Linked DNA regions of Caenorhabditis elegans. The protein of the gene in region 3 purifies or fractionates together with the protein of the main gene of each other region. This does not show direct contact. Each region holds a gene or a part of one and is shown on either strand. Other genes may lie near its edges. The genes, in order: F53F4.15, pgm-1, msra-1 and T09B4.8.

Region 1 (4,314 bases), on a different chromosome or scaffold from region 3:
ATATGAATACTAAACTCTTAGTTTTCATTTTAAAATAAAATGACAGAAAAGTGACTGCAAAGTGGAGAATATTATTGGGATTATATAAGTTGATAAGGGGTGGTTAGTAGGTACAAAAAACGTGCTGATAAAATAAAAGATCGATTAGTTCAATTTCAATGTTTAGATTTGATTTCATTTGAAGGAGCGACACTTGATGTTGCATTGGTTCTAGTCGCATTCAACACTGTAAGCCACTCATCTGGAATTGGATTTCCAATCATTTTGTACCACCTGAAAATAGGAATTATTTTTTAATAATTGTTTCAAGCTCACCATGATAGAACTCGTTTCTGGTAAATTTGAATAAATATCAGGCAAGAGAGTGGAGAAAGAACAGGCATAAAAAGGAATCCTGTGAGCGTGAGATATTCAAATACGGGGTGATTGAAAAAGAATTGCCCAATGACGTAAGATACAATGCTCATTCCGTAAAAGCCAGGGATCATGGCTTGCCATGTGAGAGCCTGAAAGGTTTTGGCGTTTGAAGTAATTCGTAAGCATTTCGTCACGTTTTTAATGCAGAAATCAATTGTTTGAAAAATTTCAATCGTCTCGGAGGCAACTTGATAAGTGCAACAAAAATAAGTTGCCACCGAAATCCTACATGATATCTGGTAATTTTTTGAACTAAAAGTAAGGTTTTTTAATAATTAGCTCACTGACGAAGGCGGACTACGGGCGATCCTAGGAACCTAGAACATAGGTTCAAACTTTTTTGCCAAGTTTATTACTTCTACTCACCATACTTCTACTCAAATTTTGTCCAAATCTAACCAGCTGCTAAGCAAAGTTCTTTTAGTCTAACTTGGATGCGAATGTTGTCATGTTTTATGATACATTGCTCATTCCACCCCAACCATAAAAGAAAGCATCATGCATCAACCGTAATCGTTTTGTTATTACCCGAACGCCCATACCTTCAATAGCTGCTTATGCATTTCTTTAGTTTTTGATGACATATCCTTTGAATTAGAAGTAAGGTTCTCAATAATCTTTTTTCTTAATATCCAAATAGTTATGTAGACTGGTGTTATTGGGCACGTCATATGTAGAATTGTGAACATTGCAGAAAACTCAATAATATTAATTGTTCCGCAAATAGTTTCGTTTTGAAGTTGATATTCCGGAAATCGTTCGACGACAATTCGCTTCATTTCATCTGCGTCATCGTCTGCCCACAGAAATGTTATCTTAAAAGTATCAGCTTGAAATCTAAATTGTTTCACATTATTACCATTTGGATAATTGACGGAATTGATATAAACATAAGAATTACTATCAAAGCTTTTCTCGTTGGTGCCGGATGAAACAGGATATAATATCGATATGAGAACCCCATTAGCAATGACCATAGACCATGAGCTACTAATGAAATGTTTATGCTGTATCTGAAATTAAGAAAATGAAGCGTGTCGGGGAATATGTATTATGGTGTACATAAAATAGCAGACATGGGGTCCAAAATAAGTGCACAGTCCACGTGACAAATAAGCCATTGTAAATCCAGCCGGAATATGCCGCATTTGAATGAAAAGATCTGTGAAACAGGCGAGGAAATCGGTCAATGCAAAGTTTATGAGAATTGTGGTGTAAGCGGCGATTGTCTGGAAATGGAAACTGATGTTTGAAGGTTGAAATTGCTTGTCTATGTGATGAGGAATTTCTGCAGAACATTTCCAGCTATCCCACACCTAGTTATAATGGCAGAGTTCTGTAGAAAGCTGAGCCTATATTACGAGATTTGCACAGTTTTTACCAAACTGGGAACTAAAGCTCTCAAATTTTGATTTTAATCTATATTTTATGATTAGTTCAAAGATTTTTCACGAAAAACTAACCTTCGGAGTCCGAAAAAGTGCCAAAAAGAGCACAATTGAATTGAGAATGCAGCCAGAAACTCCGGCAAACGTATGGAAAGAAAGGAAGAATAATGTGATAGAGTCCAGCATTTTTCAAGTTTTTCTGAAAGTGAAAAAAAAAATGGTAAAAGCTCTCTCTTAAATATAAATTTTTCAATAGAAAGAAAATCTTTATTTTAAGGCTTCACTGGAACGATGACTGTGAAGATTATGGTTACAGAATGATTATATTGTTCTAAGGAATGCTAAGAATTTTGCAAAATAAATAATTTTTTGGGAACTAGATTTTCCGTAATCCGTAAAAAAGTAAACAATTATCATATCTATTCACTCGACTTTTCGAAAAAGGAAGGAAAACACATCATGTGCACGTAAGATATCTCTATTTATGCTTCCTCGTGATGGCTCTCAGAGCTGTTAATTGCTTCATTCAGTAGAAAGCGTCTGGCGTACCTGAGAATATATGTACTGTTTGAATTACTCATAGTCTGGGATATATCTGTGTCGTTTCGTATTATATCAATAGTCTAGAACATTAAGTTAACTTGATGTTCTAGACAATTGTCAAAAAAAATTTACAGATCATCAAAATAGCGACGCCTTAATCATATTAAATCTATTACATAGATGTCTGAAGATGATAATTTTTGCCATATCTTACGCGCTTGGGTCTCGCCACGCTGACTACTGACTACTGTAACTCGTGCTGATTTATGACTGATCATGTTTTTATTTAAAAATTTTAGAAGCAATGTTTCATTTGAAACGAAAATTATAATGCATTATTACAGTAACTCGTTGTCAGCGTGGCGAGACCGTGCGCATAAGTATTTAAGATGTGGCGAAAATTCTTATCTTTAGATGTCTAGAATGCGTATTGCGCAAAATATTTCGCGCTACAGTAGTAATTTAAATATTTTCTGTAGTTTTCGCTACGAGATATATTGCGCGTCAGATATGTTGCACAACACGCATTCTCAGAAAGTAGTGATCTCGTAATAATACATTTGGTTAAGGCGATGTCCACGAATTACAAAATTTTATGAGAAAAATATAGGCAAGTTTTAAGAATTCATTCTTGTTCTCTTTCAGAGGTAAATAACGATTGGCTTTTACGCTGAGAAATTGGAAGTGAAACGGTAGAAGTTAAATCCAACCTACAACCTAATGCATCGTTATTCAAAAATTATGTTGTTATTTGGAAAACCTGATAAATCTGAACTATTTATATTTTTAAAGTTAATTTTCAATTAACTTTATTACATACAAAAATGCATTGCGAATCCAGTTCGCCCATATTTTTCAATCTGTCGAGATCACTGAGATATCACCAAAAAATCGTGTTTTCTTGAAGTTTTTCACCTAATCGTCTTTTCCATATTTCTCTTTCCCATTGTATGATTATCAATAATGTTTTCTCTTCATCTCTCTATTCTTTGCTTCACTCTCCTGATTGGTTATTCTATTGAAATGCCACCTGGTCGAATGTGCCTTCCGGAAAGAGTCAATTTTCGTAAAGTCTGGCCATGTGAACATGATAAAACTGCTGCCGAGATTTGTAGGTTTCACGGAGAAGTTGTAGAATTTAATATTACTTTTTGAAGTAGAAGAACGGGAAGATCGTGAAGCAAATCTTCGTGGAGCTCCGTCTGCATTTGCTCGGACAGGATTCTATGATCGTCTATTTCTTCAACAAAATCTTCCAACTGTCTATGATGATAATATTCCATATTATCCTAATTATGGCTACAATCCCAACAAGCCAGTCTGGGGATTGTATCGTTATTCTAACTATTTCATCAATCCATAATTAAATAATTTTAATGAATGAATAAATTTAAAATGATAACAAACAACGACTAAAAACTAAAAGAAAAAAACGAAAAGGGCCTATGGGGGAAAACTCAAAACCAATGATAATGGCGGAAAAATACTCGTATTTGACAAAAATTCGGAGAATGATGAGGAATTGCACATCGATAGATCTAGTTTTTGACGATTGCCGGATGTAGAATCTCGTCACGAAGTGATTTTCCGCCAAGAACCTAAATATATTTCATTAACTGCAACTAATTAGATTTAATTTTACCTGTGCTCTGTCTGGAATATAACTTTTGTAGTTGATCGCCACATATGTAGGATATGTGAGTGCACATACAGTATAATAAGCTCGTAGCAAGGTCATTCGAGCAGGCCGTTCCAGGTGATACCAGGGTAAACTCATCTGGAATAAAAGTCATGAAGTCAAGAAAAATTAGTTCTTTTATGGGTAGAATGAAAGATTCAACTCAATTTTTCAAAATTTAGAAAATCACCGAAAATCACAAAAATTGGTAAAATTGATAATTTTTCAACAAAAAAGTGAATTTCTATGTAGTTTTATTCATGTTTCGTTGACGTTTTTTTAAGTTCG
Region 2 (6,095 bases), 2.5 Mb from region 3:
TCTGAAAGTATTTTGATTTGTGTTGGAATGTTTCTAATGGTTTATTTCAATTATTTTGTGAAAAGTTTCCAAATTGTACATTTGAATTTACAATATCTATTTTTGCTCTTCACGACTTTATATATTTTTGGAAGTCTGGCCAGATTCTACATGATTTTGGTTCAATTAAAGTTTGTCACAGGTTTGTAAAAAAACTTTCGTCTCATATGCTTTCTGGTAAGATTTAACTTGTTCTGAAAGAGGTTTACACTTATTTGACTGAAAAACGACAAGATAAACATTGGCAAATCACACATTTTCTGAAAAATCTGAAATTTCCAAAATTTATAATAGTTACATTTTAAAATGGAATTTTGAAAACACGACTCATATCATTGGTGTTAGCGATGTATGTTGAACATTCTTCAAGTCATGTTGTATGGAGCTGCCATAACATGTTCCAAATGAATGAGCTGGTGGAAGTTGGGTAACATTTTCACAAAATAATAAAATCAAAAGTTGAAAAAATATGTGTATACTTGTGGGGATTGTAAATGTGACTGAAATTGTAGATTTTTCAGATTTTCTTTGCACGCAAATTTAAAATTCAATCAGAAATTCAGTCGTTCCAGTAATTTTTAAATGGTAAAAATTGTCCAACGCCATATATGTTTTTTTTTCAAATTTTAAACTTATATGACTCGGTAGCTCAATATTTTTCAGATCTCGACACGCCGTATCTCCTCGTAGCGGGAATATTGAGAATGGAACATTATGGAGTTAGTTTAAGTGCAATTTTAGTAGTAACTATTGAACGAGCATTTGCAACTTATTATGTGGTCGATTATGAAACGAAGCACAGATGTTGGGTTGCTGCATTTTGTGCTTTGGTCAGCCTAACCTATACTCAATGTTTTGTGATTCCCATTTGTTTCTGTAAGTTTTATTCTCTTACAGTTTTTGTGCCTACGTGCCTGCCTGCGTCCTTGGAAAAACTTGGAAAAAAACACAAGAAAATTTGCAGAACACACAACTTTCCAAAAGGGGTTTTTTGGGATTTTCTATTTTCAAAAAAGCAGCAAAATAACCTAATTTTAAAAACAAAAAAGGGGTAGGTATAGGCACTGGCAGGCATATACTCTTTTCACAATTCACATTCTTAACATCAAAAATAGTTATTTTCAGTTGAAGCTTCTTTGTTGTATATTATTCTATTCGCATCACTATGGGCAGTTTTCTCAAACATTGTAAGAAGCACAATGCCCATTTTTCAAAATAATTTCTTCATTTTTTAGGTTTTAATGTGCCTTTACTATTATAATGTACAAGAATCCAAGAGATTATCATGGAAAGCTGAGAATCTTCGGAAAATGAAAAATGTAAATTATACATTGAGCAAGAAGTTTCAAGTTGAAGAAAATGTGAAAATTATTAAATATCTGCAAGTTATGAGCTCCATGTTGGTTTTTCTCATATTTTTTGTTATTATATTTATTGTAGTTCCTAGAGTATATCTGGGTTCAAAAACATATTCGGGTCAAGTTATGATTTCACTTTTTGATATTAATTTGGCACTTGGTGCAATTCTAATTCCTTCCGTTTGCGTTTTACATTTACGGAAAACTAGAGATATGCCATTTTCTGTAGGTTTTTATCAATTTTTCAGATTTTCATTATATATTTTCAGGGGAAAATCCATTGTTTGAATAAGAGACGCGATGACCGTCAGGTGAACCCGATTACTGTATTTGAAGACGTTACAAAATCATATTTCGATCAATTTCAAACATCTTGGCGATGATTCATATGATTTTTGGAAATATTACTTTGAAGTTTTGTTATAAAATGTTACATTAGAAACATTTGTGTTTTTTAAACATGTTTTATTCTTCAGTGATTCTTCCAGCACAAAACAAAAACAGCACAAAGTCCGTTGTTTTATTTTTAGTGAGAGCGTCACTTTGTTTTTATAAATAATTTAGATTCTTTTATTCATATAATTTTTGGGTAAAAAACTGTTTTTGGTTTTTTGAAAAATTTCATTAAAGTGAAACATTAACCACGGTAGAATTAAAGGCGCAGCATGAATAAGTTTTCGTGTGCTCCGCAACGATTTTAACTACCTTAACCTACAATCGGAATTCGTTTAAAAAACAAAAAGCGAGTCATTTTGTTTCAATAAAAAGTTGAGTTTTTCTTAAATACTTATCAATATTTTCTCCAAATTTCATTCGGTTACTATCAAAAAAAAGTTTTTTATTAATTACGGTCGGTTTAAAGGCACAGAAGGAAAAAAGTGTTTGTCAGTATCGCAGCGATTTTAATTACCGCATACCATTATTGAAATTTTGTTTGAAAAAAACAAATTACTCGAAATGCGCGCGCGGTATTCACCATTTGTATCGTTCTTTTTCCCGAAATTTCGTTGTTTTTGTGTTCGACACAATATATTCAATAGTTTGTAGCGATGAAAACCTTGATAAGCAATAGGGGGCGTCTCGAATTTTCGAAAGAGAGTATAAAGAAGATAAATTTTTTTTCGCTCATTGATTTCTTTTCATTTTTCTTTATCTTTTTTGATGAACAGCAGCAGTTGTTCCATTTCTACACGTATTTTGTTGCTCTCTATTTCTCTGAACTCTCTGTTTGTGTGGGTGCTCTCCTTTGGCGCCAACAACTGCAGCTGGCATTTCTTTTCTTTTTTCGCTGCGAAATCTGAACTATTCCTGCCCACCCACCAGAAGATAAATAAATTCTTCGTGTTCTTAACATGTCTGTCTACCTGGACTTTAAAAACCCCATTTAAAAGTTGCATTTGAGGTCAAAAGTTATCCCAGAAGAGTTCGAGCACATTTTAGGTCGGCCCATTTCTAAAGTTATTCATTTTTCTATGTTTACTATCACTGAACATTGACCAACCACTTGACTTTCGTGATAAGATACGAAGCGATCATTTTCTGTTTACTATTTTCTCTTTTCTCATAGTCAGTCCATTTTATTTTCTGATCTATAATATTTATTTTCAGCCTAAAATGGGAATCGCCGTCGTTGAAACCCCCACAAAACCATTCGCAGGACAGAAACCCGGAACATCTGGTCTTCGCAAACGGGTTCCGGAATTCCAGCAGCAGAATTACACGGAAAACTTTGTTCAAGCAATTTTGGATGCTGGTCTTGGATCGAAAAAGAAGGGTTCTCAGTTGGTTGTTGGTGGAGATGGACGGTTTCTTTCGATGGAAGCCACAAATGTGATTATTAAAATTGCAGCAGCCAATGGGGTAAGAAATATTGAGAAATTTTAGTAATTTTTTTATAAATTTGAGTTTTTCAGCTTTCCCGTCTTATCGTCGGTCAAAACGGTTTCTTGTCGACGCCAGCTCTCTCGAATCTTATCAGAAAAGGACACGAAGGTCGTGTTGTTGATGGAGGAATAATTCTCACTGCTAGTCACAATCCAGGAGGTCCAAAGGGAGATTTTGGAATCAAATTCAACTGCGAAAATGGTGGACCTGCTCCAGATCAAGTCACTGATGCCATTTATCAGATCACAACTAAAATCGATAAATACTTGATTGCCAAGGATTTAGAATGCGATTTTACACAAGTTGGAAGGTAAACACATCAATATTTTGATTACATTGATGTACATTAATTTTCAGATATGAATATGATATTGAGGGAGTTGGTCACTTTGTCGTTGACGTCATTGATTCAGTTACCGAATACATCAACCTCATGCAGAAAATCTTTGATTTCCCAAAAATCAAATCCCTTCTCGCTGGTGAACTTACTGGACGCAAACTCAGAGTTTTACTTGATTCGATGCACGGAGCAACTGGACCATACATCTCTACAATTCTTGTCGATCATCTTGGAGCTGATCCTTCTGATCTTTTGAGAACTGTTCCAAAGCCAGATTTCGGTGGAGGTCATCCAGATCCAAATCTCACCTACGCAAAAACTCTTGTTGAACGCCTCCACACCGGAGAACACGATTTAGGAGCTGCATTTGATGGAGATGGTGATCGTAATATGATTCTTGGAAAGAATGGCTTCTTCGTTTGCCCCAGTGATTCTTTAGCTGTTATTGCTGATAACATTGATTATATTCCATATTTCAAGACTCGTAAGGTTGCTGGTTTTGCTCGTTCAATGCCAACTGCTGGAGCTGTTGATTTGGTTGCCAAGGCAAAGGGACTTCAAGTGTATGAGACACCGACCGGTTGGAAGTACTTTGGAAATCTTATGGATGCTGGAAGAATTGCTATTTGTGGAGAAGAATCATTCGGAACTGGATCTGATCACATTCGTGAGAAGGATGGCGTTTGGGCACTTCTTGCATGGCTTCAAATTCTCGCAGACCGAAAAGAATCCGTCGAGGAAATTGTGACGAAGCATTGGCAGAAATATGGAAGAAATGTGTTCACTCGTTACGACTATGAGAATGTGGATGCAGCTGGTGCCAACTTGTTGATGACTTTCCTTGAAGCTCAATTGCCAGCATTTGTTGGAAGAGATTTCTCGGCAAATGGGGTTACATATAAGGTGAGAGAAAGTTCGAAAAGATTTATTTTTTCTAAAAAATACTATTTCCAGGTTGCTGTCGCTGACAATTTCCAATATACTGATCCAGTGGATGGTTCAGTTGCAACCAAACAAGGACTCCGAATTGTCTTCGAAGATGGATCTCGATTGGTATTCCGACTCTCTGGAACAGGATCTGCCGGTGCTACCATCCGTCTCTACGTTGATTCGTACATTCCTTCAAATGACACTTCTCGCCTTCTACTTCCAGCTCACGAATTGCTCAAACCATTGGTGTTGATTGCACTTGATACTTGCAAAATGGAGCAGTTCACTAATCGCAAGGCTCCAACTGTTATCACATAATTTTAGTATTTAAAAATGATTTATATATTGCATGAGTTTAGCTAAATAATTATGTGTAGATTTTCCTCGGTTTATATAATTTTATGTTGCACGTAAACGAAAAGTTGAATGAAAATTTGAAAACTTATGAGAATATTGTGAAATACATCAATGTTGGTTTTTGGAAAAAAAAGTTGATGTTTGTGGTTTTCTGATGTCGATTTAGTGAGAAATGAGAAACGCAGACACTGAGAGCGAAGGGTTCAAAAGCGCCAGATTGTGACGAATTCTTCATTTTATTCTGAAAAATGGTTTCCTATAAACTAATTTATTTTCAATCTCGTGGAAATGGAGAAATCGCTCGTCAAGTTTTCGCTTTTGCCGGCCAAGAATTTATTGATGAGCGTATTTCTAAAGAGCAGTGGGCAGAAATTAAAAATAGTAAGTTCAAAAGTTGCATTTTAGAATGAAATCCTCAGTTTAAAAAGTTGATTAATTACAATGTAGCGAAATGCTTCAGTTTTTAAGTGGTATCCCGCCACGAACAAAATATCCTCACATAAAGATTAAGGTGTGCCTTTAAGCAGTACAGTAACCCATTTTACAATTTTATTCGATTTTTCCACATTATTAAATAAATTCAATTCGATTTTCTACTGAAAAAAATCGAAAATATAACAATTCAAATATATATTTATTATTGGGGATTTTGGCAGATACTGCAGAAATTTAAAAAACTTTGCAATGCAAAAAAAAAATCAAAAATTCCAGGCTTCTTTTGGAATCATTTTGGCAGAACCTGCAGAAATATTAAAGTTCGGTTTTTTTAAAGAGATGATCGAAGAAACATTGTAGTGTCGAGCCAGCTGATCTAGAGGAAAATGCTCAAACGAGGAGTGGAAAGGAAGCTCTTTTTTCGAGCATGACAATATTATCTCGTTTGAAAATCTCTGAAAATATGTTCAAGTAAAAAAAAACAAAAAACGAGCTATCAATGAAAGTTTATTGAAGTTTTGGAAAGTTCACAAATCCTATGGGTTGTACTCGATTGGGAGGTTCTTACGACGAACCATACCGTCTCCTTGGAACCATTCCCGACGGAATTGCTTAGCAGCACCATCCGGAGTGTTGGTCCACTCAACAGTGATACGATCGTTGTTAGTGTCCTCCTGTCCAAAGGCGAAGGCATCGCAGGAAACTGCCAGAAAAACAGCTTCCTTTGGGTCCAGAACTCCACATGGTGGATC
Region 3 (4,649 bases):
AGTAATGGAAAAGATCGTCTGACACCTATTTGTTTAGAGCATCTTATTCATATTTGTTTATTTGGAGATGAACTTTGTATTGAAGCAATTCAAAAAGGATGCATCTCATCAGTTATTCGAATTATGAAGAATGATCAACCACAGGAGAACACTCTTAGATTTTTACTTCGAACATTGGCAGTGTTATGTGGAGTTTCAAAAGGAGCACTTGCTTTGCTCACGGTAATTAGATATATTTTATAATCAATACTTTTCAATACAAATTCAATACAAATTCAATCAATACAAATTGATTAATTTCAGCAAGGAGGCTTGGATTTGGTTATTGATAGACTTTTATCCATTTCCTCATCAATCTGTTCCGTCGAGGCAGCTGGTATTCTGACACAACTTACCAATCCTCAGTCTGCATTCATTCGGTTAAATCATGTGGAACCAATTATATCCAGACTTTTGGGTAACCAATTTAAATATAAAAATTGGAGACTAAATAATTAATTTCAGATCTAATAGATCAATGTAAATCAGGTGACTCTTTGCTTTTGGCAACCGCTGCATTGAACAATGTGACACTTCAGAACCCAAATGGAGTTGATATTATGTACAGGTTTGTTGAATTTTAAGCATTTAACTATTTTCGCAAAAGCTCAGTACAAAATTAAATTTGAACCAACATTAAATTGAGCTATAGCACGTAATTGTAGAAAATGAATGCAAAATTTCAAGGCGAATTCCTTGTTCTAACTTTTGTAGCAATTGCTACAAGTTACCTAGAAACTACAAAACGGTAAACCAGCCTACCAGATAAAACTGAAAACAGTCTCGAATTTAAAAAAAAATCTGAAAATTTATAGGATCGCTCTCTATTTTGGGATTTTGAAAAGTTTTTTGCAACATGTAAATGTAAATATTTTCAGAAATAATTCAATTCGTCGTCTGATATCTGCTTATAATCGAGAAAATTGTGCCACTGTCTTCGTCCAGGAACAAATTGTTACAGCCTTTTCTCGCCTTGCCGCCCGTCATTTAGATCATCAAATGGTTGATCAAAATGCAATTCCAGTGCTTCTTGAATTTTTATCCCTTACCCATCCAATCCATGCGGATTACTGTAGAAGGATACGGTACAAAGCTGCTGTATGTATTGGTACTTTAGCTAACAGTGAAATTGGGCTCAAAGCCTTGTATGGTAATAATGGTGAGATTTTCAGAATTATTCAACGTTTCATATATGTTCAAGTTACAGCCTACGCAATTTTGAGCAATGTGCTTTATGATGACAACAACTCTTCAAATCCATTTAATATGATATGCAACAATATTCGCACAAAGTTGGAATCTAAATACCAATCTGAAAGTGCAGTATAATATTCAAATATCTTCCTTTGTTAAACAAACAAACACAAGAATCTGTGATAAAATAAAATTCATTGAAAACCTGATAAAAGTTCGATTGTACATTCATATAATTTAAGCATGACAGTTTCTTGGATCTCCTCCTGACAGAGCATAGTCCTTCACCTTATTGACAAAAGAATCCTTTAATCCGTACTCTTTTGCAAGACGCTCAAGATCGTGGAAGTCCTGGAAGCCAGCACAATATGCGTTCAATTTTGTGGCAAGTTCTCCTTCAGCAACTTGAGTATCAAGAAGAGACAGTTCATCGAAAAGAATCTTCTTTTGACGGAACCAATATTTTTGATGGTAATCTTCAGCTTGATAGAACTTGTCCAATGGCTCAATATATGTTTCAATGTCTCCATGCTTGTCCTTTGCTACTTTCAAAGTTTCTTCAGCGACTTTCTTTTGGTCGTCATTTACGTAGAGAATCGCAGATTGGTATTGCTGAAATTGAAACGAATTAATTTGAAGTTTAAATGTATTTTAACCTAAAAAATTATAATCAATTAGAACTTACTTTTTGTTACGTTTTCCAGTAGAACAATATTTGAAACTTTAAAGTCAATTCGAAAATTACCTTCTTTCTCCTTTCAGCTGGGTTGTGATGCTTCCAAAAGAAGTTGGTGAGCTTTGAGTATTCAATAACTTTTGGATCAAAAGTGATCTCTGTGATTTCAGTATGATCCTTGATATTCTTATAAGTAGGATTTGGTTGTTTTCCTCCAGCATATCCAACTCGTGTCACCACAACTCCTTTCAGCTTCGCCCATGCAGATTCTCCCCAGAAGCACTGAAGACCAAAATAGGCACGCTCCAAATAAGCCATGTTTCACCTGAAATTATATCGGATTGAAAAAGGTTTTGAGTTTATAAAGGAATTAAAAAATTAGTAAACAATGTAAAAACGTATGTTTCACAGTCAATTTATATACAAATCGGGGCGGAATCAAAATGTGATTCCTGTAAATTTTGCGATTACATCAGAAAGAGGAAAGAGACGCAGAGGGAATCGATGAAGAAGACAAGTAGAAAAGAAAACATACAATGTTAGACGCAGGCATATAGACACGACATGCTTTATCATCATTCTGCCAGCAGTGGTAGACGAAGAAAAAGCAGATGGCCAGTCAGAAATGATGACATAGATCGCTTTTTGGTAAAGATGTTTCTTTTGATGATATTGAGTACACGTTGGGTTCAATGGACAATAACTGAGCTTTTCCATGAACTTTCTTTTGATCAAAATAGTTTCTAATTTTAGGCCCTGTATTTTTCGTTAGAAATTGCAAAATGTTCAATGTACAAATGAATAAGTTATACCTAGTTGACGGAGCTCTTTCACTTGTGAGAACATTGAACTTTTCCTCGTCTTACAACAATCGTTTTTTTTTGTTTATTCGATTAGCTAAAAAACAATTAATCAAAAAACTATGAAAAATAAATGAAATTTCCGAAAGTTTGAACCTACAGTACTCATTAAAGGCGCACGCCTGTTCGTATTGTACAAAAATCTGTCGTGTCAAGACCGGGGTTGGCTCAAAAACCCTAAAACCTCGTGTCTGGTTAATAAAGGATATTTCCAGAAAAAAAGTGAAATGGAAACCTAAGTTATTTCTGAACTATTAAAATATAGTGTGCTCTTGGATCTTGATAATTTACTATGACTTCAGCAGCTTTATCTAATTCCATGTCTTCTTGTTTTCGCAATGTATTTTGTATTTCACGGATGGAACGTTGACGAAGATAATCTAGATTCGCTAGTTCAGCAGTTATATCATCAAGAACTTGCATTGCTGCAGCAAATGTTCAATGCACAAATGAATAAGTTATACCTATTTGACGGAATTCGTTCACTTGTGAGGATGGTAGTGGGGGTGGAGTAAGACTGGCTCAGTCTGAACGTTTTGACCTACTTGCAAGTTAGTTTTGAAGCTCAAAAATAATGTTGTTTTTACAGACAGTCATTTGGACTACAAATCCACTGTGACACCTGCTCAGACAAACGCTTAGTCGTCTAATTAGATTTCAACCGTATTCAACGAGATTTCAACCATATTTGTTTAGAAAATCCATATTGCATTATATTTGCTCCATATTAGATTAGAAATCCATGCTAGATTAGATTTCCTCCATATTTCATTAGAAAACAAATCTAATCCAATATGGTCGAAATCTAATTAGACTACTAAGCGTTTTTCTGAGTGTGCCCACAGTACATCACTATTGTTTTATTGAACCGTTGTAGAAGTATACTATAATTTTCTACAATTCAATAGTTAGGCAATACAACATTCTAAATTCTCATTAAAATAATACTTGCCAGCAAAAGTTGCAAGCCCAGGCTCGGTTTACCAAATAACTTCTTGAACTCACGAAATTGCGTATCTTCAAACTGGCGTATCTTGAAAAATAAACATCCAGGAAACAAATGTTCAACTAACAAAATGATTAGAAATATTTTTTATTTTTTCTGCATTACTTTTCAGTGCAAAATACCAATTATTTGTTACACAGAGTCATTTTACCAAAAACCACTAAAAATTTTGTCGATTGAGTTTCAGAAGTAAAATGTTAATGAATAATAATTGCAAGATATAAACTGATAAAATGTGGAAAAATATCTTGCAATTATTATTTATTAATGGGGTTATTCAAGTAATGTAGCAAAATGTATTTAAATACATTTGTGACGTCACTAATGTATTTAAATACATGTTTTTATATACTTGAATACAGTTGTGACGTAATTAATCTACACTTTTTAATTTTCCGACACTACTTGAATAACCCCATAAGTTTTGTTATCTAAAATTCAATGGATGTTGAATTATGAATGGTAGAGCAGAACAGTTCTCAAAAATTTCGATGGGTATTGGGAAAATTTATTTGAATCAGTGTAACTCAACAAATAACTGGTATCTTGCAATGAAACTAAATGCAAAAAAAAGAAAAAATATTTTTAAACATTTTTTTAGTTGAACATTTGCTTCATAGACGTGGATTTTTCAAGATACGCCAGTTTGAAGATACGCTACAAATGCCTAGTTAGGCTTGTTCGAAAGCTAGAAAAATTCTCTACACAATGGCAGGTTTAACTTCAGAAATTTATTAGTAGATACTGAAAATTATGGAAAATACCAAACTAACTATGTTTTACAATATTAGATAAACATTGAGAAAAATTGCTCAAAAAATCTGACCGACATTTCTGTTGACCAATGTGAAGAGAAAAAGTTGAAATTTTGAAA
Region 4 (5,734 bases), on a different chromosome or scaffold from region 3:
GTTTTTGTTTTCTATTGCTATAAAGTTAGAAAAAACGAAACAAAAATGATGCAACTAGAAGTACTGTAAGTCATGAGAAAGAGGAAGAACTTTCATCAATAAAAAGCAAGGAGAAACAATTAAAAAAAAAACTGAAAATGTTCTGTTCCGCATATAGGCAAATGGTGTAATAAGGAATAGATCCTTCAGGTTTTAAAGGTTCGATAGGATGACAGCTTCTGCAAAACACCGTCTTATCTAGATTGCCGGTGTTGTGTTGCAGTGTTGCATAAAAGTTGTAAAAATCGTATCCGATATCGGTCGCAAGCTAACAAACAATAACTAGAGGCCTCTAAAAAATATCACACCCTCTATAGAGGGTGTGATATGATGCAACTTGTAGGATTCAATACTGTTTTATATTAATAACTGAGAAACATGTCGAACTTTCAATCGAACGTATACGCATTCAAACAGCAATTCAAACCATATACACACCTTATAGATTAATGCATTCAACCTACGTGCTTATTGCTGTTTTATTCGTACGCTTGAAGAGTGCATTTTATGCCGCCATAGCTCAGTCGGTTAGAGCGTGGGTCTAATAAGCCCAAGGTCGCAGGTTCGACCCCTGCTGGCGGCAAACTTTTGCCATGCTATCACTTTCACCTTTTTCCGCATTTCGATTACATCATCAGTTGTGCGGTTGGCGTCGCCTAACCATCCGATGAGATAACACCTATGTCGCATTTGCCGCGCGCCAAGGACATGCGGATCGGAACCGGTTTTAAGCTTTTCTTAATCTCAATCCACAGCAGAAGCAGCAGCCGCAGTACATGCATGTCGCTTCATTTTTTTAAACATCGTCCGTCCACCAGCACCTTGTGACGGAGAAGTGAAGCGCGTACATAATGCCATAGTATACCAATAACACATAAACGATACATGTAACTGGATGCGTTTTGGAAGAAGCAAAAGAGAAATGCGAAAAAAGAAGAATACCAAGTTGACTGACGGATTTTCGTGTTCAGATCTGAATTTGTAGCTGTACGTCTTAAAAAAGGGAGTGGTCTGAACAATACAAATTGAAGCGTTTTGGAACAATAATTTCATAGAACCCGAAAGAATTTTGAATATTTGAATTATAGTTTGAAACAACAACAAAAAACAAGAATTTGGTAATATCGAAATGAAGAAATGACGGCGCCTATGAAATTATTTGTATTGTTTAATTGATTTGGCAATGATGTCTACAGCAAAATCGACATCCTTTTTAGTAATACACATTGGTGGTTTGATACGGAGAACGTTTCCATGGATACCTCCTTTTCCGATCAGTAGGCCTTGGTTCTGTAAATTAATCTGATAGTTAGACAAGTAAAATGGCATTACACCTTAGTGTCTTCGAAGATAGCTGCTGTTTTGGCTGCGGCAAGTGGTTTCCCTTGCTCATCGATAAGTTCCACTCCGATCATTAACCCCTAAAAATCATCAAATTGTATATTAAAATCTTTTTAGAGAGTTTTCTCACTTTTCCTCTAACATCTCCAATTGTCGCATCATCAATTGCTGCAAGTTGTTTCAAGAAGTAATCTCCAACAACAGCGCTGTTTTCCTGAAGCTTCTCCTCTTCAATCACTTCCAATACAGCTTTTCCAACAACGGAAGCTAATGGATTTCCACCATATGTATTGAAGTATAGAGATTTGTTGAAAGAGTCGGCAATTTCTTTACTAGTGACAACAGCTCCCAATGGGAATCCGTTTCCGATTCCTTTTGCCATAGTTACCATGTCTGGCAAGGCATCTTGTGCTGAAAATTCAAAATATTGATTTCTTAGTTTTAGTATTATTTATTTTAAAAACTCACATTCGAATCCCCAAAAATGAGAGCCGAGGCGTCCGAAACCGGTTTGTACTTCGTCAGCAATAGCGAGTCCTCCCCGTTTTTGTACAGATTCGTAAGACTTTTTGAGATATCTGGAAAAATCAAATACACATTTTTCACTTTTCTTTTGAGATTTTACCCATGTGGATACTGAACAGTTCCTCCAACTCCTTGAATAGATTCAATCAAGAAGGCAGCTGGTCCGGATGAATGAGAGAAATCGTGAAGAAGCATATCATCGAACTGTTCAATGTACTTATCAGAAGCTTGACAGGATCCAGGCTTGCAATCGCATTTTCTGTTCTTTACTTGAATTGGAGAGTCACGACAATTGCTTCCTCCAAAGATTCCACGATATGGATCAGCATTCAATGACTTAAAAATGTTGAATCCATGTGGAAAAACTGGTTTCCAGTTTCCCAAATTAGTTGCTCCAAGAACAGTTTGGGTCATTCCATGATATCCATTTCTCATCGAGATAACATCAAATCGTCCTGTGTAGTTACGAGCAAGAGCTAAAGCCAGGTCATTTGCTTCCGATCCAGAGTTCACAAAGAAGACTGACTGAAAATTTGGATGTGAAGAAACGACTAGATATTTAGTAATTCACTATAGGAAGGCCTAACAGTTTCAAGTCTGCAAACTGTAGGGTTTGATAAAAGGGTAAAAAATAAAAACTAACATTCAATTTGCTTGGGAACTTTGAGAGCAACTTCTCAGCATACTCATAAATTGGTTCAGTGTGATAAATGGACGTGGTATGCCAAAGCTTCTGTGCTTGCTCGGTAAGAGCTGCGTTGATTTTTCTGAAAGCATAAAATTCTCATAAGCTTACAAAAAGAATACTCACGGATGACAATGTCCAACTGAGACTGTGACAATTCCACCAAAGAAATCGAGATATTTCTTTCCATTCGAATCAAAAAGGAATTGTTTTTCACCTTTCGTAATCAAGAGTTGATCCTTGTAATAGGTCACATGTCCCTTTGGAAGTAATGGACGAAGTGCCTGCACTCGTTGCATGGTTTAAGCTGAAATTTTTTCAATATTTGATGAATCGATTAAAGGGATCCAAAAAATAATGACTTGTGGAAAATTTTGAAAAGTTCACGGAAAAATCTACTTTCGTGTGGAATACAAGTTAAATACAGGAAATCATTAGAACTTATAGGCATTTAAGAAACACAATTGCACACAAAATAACTGGAGGGTGTGTCAAATGTTTCAAGGTCAAGTTGGATATATTACACAACACACACACACAAAAATGCACCAAAAAGACAACTGTCTATGACTGTCTGCGTATCTTCCATTCAAATACTTTTTCATTTGGCTCTGAGACAGTTGTCGTTGGGAAAATTAGAGAGAGTGACCAATAAATGTGTGGAGAAGAGAAAAAGAGCAACGTGTTTGAGGACAGAAGTGCAAAAGAACAACAAGTTAAAAAATTAAAGAAAGAAAAATGTCATTATTAGAACGGTTCTTTGTGAAAAACTGCCTGCAAAAAGAAAAAATGAAAGAAAGAATTTTCATAGAACAACTGAAAGATATCAAGAGATGATAATTGATAACTGTTGCACGTATCAATTGATAAAAATGAATAGGACATTCAATTCTGATTATTGACCCTTTTAATAATATTCTTGATTTGACTTTATGTGGTGGATCCGAAGAAATACTTTCAATACTTTCTCGTGGGGCTTAGTTCAGGCTTGGGCATAGGCGTAGGCTTAGGCTTAGGCAGGCCGGGAGGAGGAAGAGAGCACATGAAATTCCAGAAAATTGAATAGAAGAAAAAGAATAGAAGAAAAAAAAAAAGAAAAAATGCACAAAACCCATGATAAATGGAATTAATAAGAGAAAAAATTGCACAATCTTGAATTGTATTTTTCTTCCCCTCAAGTTTTGATTTTGCGGTATTTATTAAAAGTTTGGAGTATTCCGAGTATTATTTATAAAACCAACTTAACTGTTGAATCCATAAAGTTTATTTTCCGTGTGACTTTTTATTTATAAGCAGTACCCGCAGTGTATTATATTCTGTAAAATTGCCGAGTTGCCGAAAATCTAAGTCTTCTTTCCTTCTCGCATCAAAACTTTCTCTTTTCAATCGCAACCGTTCTCGTGCGACTTTCTTTTTCTCTTCTTCTTCACAATTTCTTTGCTATTTCTTCTTCTCTATGTAAAAGATGCAGATAACCCAAATTTGCGTATTGTTATCAATACCAGTGTTGCATACAACATCAATTTTCTCATTTATTGATTTTTGTTTTGGTCCAAGTTGAGGATAATTTTTCGTTGAGAAAAAAGCTTGTATTCCTGCCAAATCTCTCGTTTTTTCTTGTTTTCCGCCTTTGTTTTGACCCGTCAAACACCGTTCCGCGATTCGCTTTTTATTTACCTACGCTCTCTCGTTTTCTCACACAGTTCTTTTCACAGAATTTCAATTCACATTTTGCTGCTCGGGTTTGGCTATTTTATATATTAACATTTTAAAACAAAGAAGAAATGACTGAATTTTTCTCGCAGAAGCAGATTGATGGTAAGTGAAACAACACTATAATTCCAAGATTTGACTCCGAAATCTTTACTTTATTGTTTCTCATCAGAAATTCGTGAATGCTTCAACTTTTATTCAACCAGTGGAGTACTAAGAACAGATTCTCAACTTCGATGTGCTCTCCGAAGTCTTGGATATTCTCCAACTGCTTCCAAAACTGATATTTATTTCAAGAAGCTTAATAGTATGAGTTTTAGAACATTACACTTCTGAATGATTGCTATTTATTTCAGAAAAACCAATCGAATTTGCAACATTTTTGGACATTTGCAAAGATGAACAAAATAGTCCGAATCCACTGACGGAGATTATCAAAGCGTTAAGTGGATTGGATAGGTTAGTTGATGTGCTTTACAAAATAAATACGAAATTTTCAGAAATAAAACTCGCGCAATGCCATCTCGTGAGCTTGCCGCAATACTTTCACACGTTGGGGAGCAAATGAGTCCAGAGGAGATTAAATATCTTTTATCAAAAGTTGAGGTCAACGGAATGGTTCCTCATCAAGCACTTATTGAGTATATTTCCAAATGAAATTTACTTTGAGCAAATAAAAATAAATTGTTTTTATCTGGGAGCTGTCTAGTGAGTTATTGGATTAAGAACGGCTGCAATATATTTGGAAATAATTATTAAAAAATTATAATTTTCGTCAGGGCAGTCACAAACATGTCAGAACAAAACACGAAAAGTAAAATTAAAAATAAAATCCTAATCTTTTTCTCGCGACTAAAATGTCTGAATCAGTATTTTAGTAAAGAAAATACCCCAAAATAGTTTTGGATAATTTGGTAATGACCAAAATAGCAGATAAAACAAAAATGAATACAGATGGATTGAAAATTTGACTTTTGGAATCACCAAAATCACCAATCGCCAAAAATGCGAAGTGCACAATTCCAATGATGCATAAATATGTATAGAGCTCGTCCCGGTTTAATTTCAATTCTTGGAATGTTAAGTTTACGTAAAGTCATGTTAAAGCTTTCGAAGTGTATCAAACTTTCAGTAAAAAGCTTGAAATACCCAGCTTTCCGAGGCCGTCTCTGATCTGGCAAGTTGAGCAACGTTGATTCCAGTTTGTACTTGGATTGGAGGCGGCCTGAGAATCCTGAATGTTACAAGCTTTTTGCCAAAAAGATGTAGATATAGTTCGAAATCTTGAACATGACTTCAGGTAAATCTAACATTTCCAGAAATGAATTCAAATCAGTTTTTGTCTCCTCCATAGGAGATGTTCCAAAATTTGTAGCCGACACCAAATTTCTTTTCGTCAGAATTGTTTTGCGTACCATTATCACCTCCTCG

What was found.
Region 1: the proteins of msra-1 (region 3) and F53F4.15 fractionate together in Caenorhabditis elegans (co-fractionation; one large-scale study listed by BioGRID). This does not show direct contact.
Region 2: the proteins of msra-1 (region 3) and pgm-1 fractionate together in Caenorhabditis elegans (co-fractionation; one large-scale study listed by BioGRID). This does not show direct contact.
Region 4: the proteins of msra-1 (region 3) and T09B4.8 fractionate together in Caenorhabditis elegans (co-fractionation; one large-scale study listed by BioGRID). This does not show direct contact.

What each region holds. Positions count from the first base shown.
Region 1 is NC_003283.11:13,617,696-13,622,009, forward strand, and holds F53F4.15 (Neuropeptide-Like Protein), read left to right. Parts: upstream 1-3,280; 5' UTR 3,281-3,311; coding exon 3,312-3,459; intron 3,460-3,505; coding exon 3,506-3,711; 3' UTR 3,712-3,781; downstream 3,782-4,314. Other genes in the region: srd-11 (G-protein coupled receptors family 1 profile domain-containing protein), read right to left, coding at 156-273, 316-506, 960-1,232, 1,277-1,430, 1,480-1,646, 1,881-1,991; F53F4.16 (uncharacterized protein), read right to left, coding at 3,887-3,946, 3,991-4,125.
Region 2 is NC_003280.10:4,886,432-4,892,526, forward strand, and holds pgm-1 (phosphoglucomutase (alpha-D-glucose-1,6-bisphosphate-dependent)), read left to right. Parts: upstream 1-3,005; 5' UTR 3,006-3,011; coding exon 3,012-3,257; intron 3,258-3,310; coding exon 3,311-3,591; intron 3,592-3,638; coding exon 3,639-4,524; intron 4,525-4,575; coding exon 4,576-4,869; 3' UTR 4,870-4,996; downstream 4,997-6,095. Other genes in the region: R05F9.7 (Serpentine Receptor, class E (Epsilon)), read left to right, coding at 1-181, 703-915, 1,165-1,226, 1,275-1,622, 1,667-1,780; gst-9 (putative glutathione S-transferase 9), read left to right, coding at 5,157-5,289; msp-33 (Major sperm protein 33), read right to left, coding at 5,880-6,095.
Region 3 is NC_003280.10:7,361,807-7,366,455, forward strand, and holds msra-1 (peptide-methionine (S)-S-oxide reductase), read right to left. Parts: upstream 2,235-4,649; 5' UTR 2,228-2,234; coding exon 1,979-2,227; intron 1,846-1,978; coding exon 1,471-1,845; 3' UTR 1,414-1,470; downstream 1-1,413. Other genes in the region: insc-1 (Protein inscuteable homologue C-terminal domain-containing protein), read left to right, coding at 1-222, 304-457, 505-607, 918-1,198, 1,247-1,368.
Region 4 is NC_003279.8:6,163,643-6,169,376, forward strand, and holds T09B4.8 (Alanine--glyoxylate aminotransferase 2, mitochondrial), read right to left. Parts: upstream 2,898-5,734; 5' UTR 2,890-2,897; coding exon 2,717-2,889; intron 2,673-2,716; coding exon 2,549-2,672; intron 2,431-2,548; coding exon 2,006-2,430; intron 1,959-2,005; coding exon 1,849-1,958; intron 1,792-1,848; coding exon 1,511-1,791; intron 1,461-1,510; coding exon 1,374-1,460; intron 1,330-1,373; coding exon 1,195-1,329; 3' UTR 1,077-1,194; downstream 1-1,076. Other genes in the region: T09B4.4 (EF-hand domain-containing protein), read left to right, coding at 4,375-4,408, 4,476-4,610, 4,660-4,762, 4,804-4,960.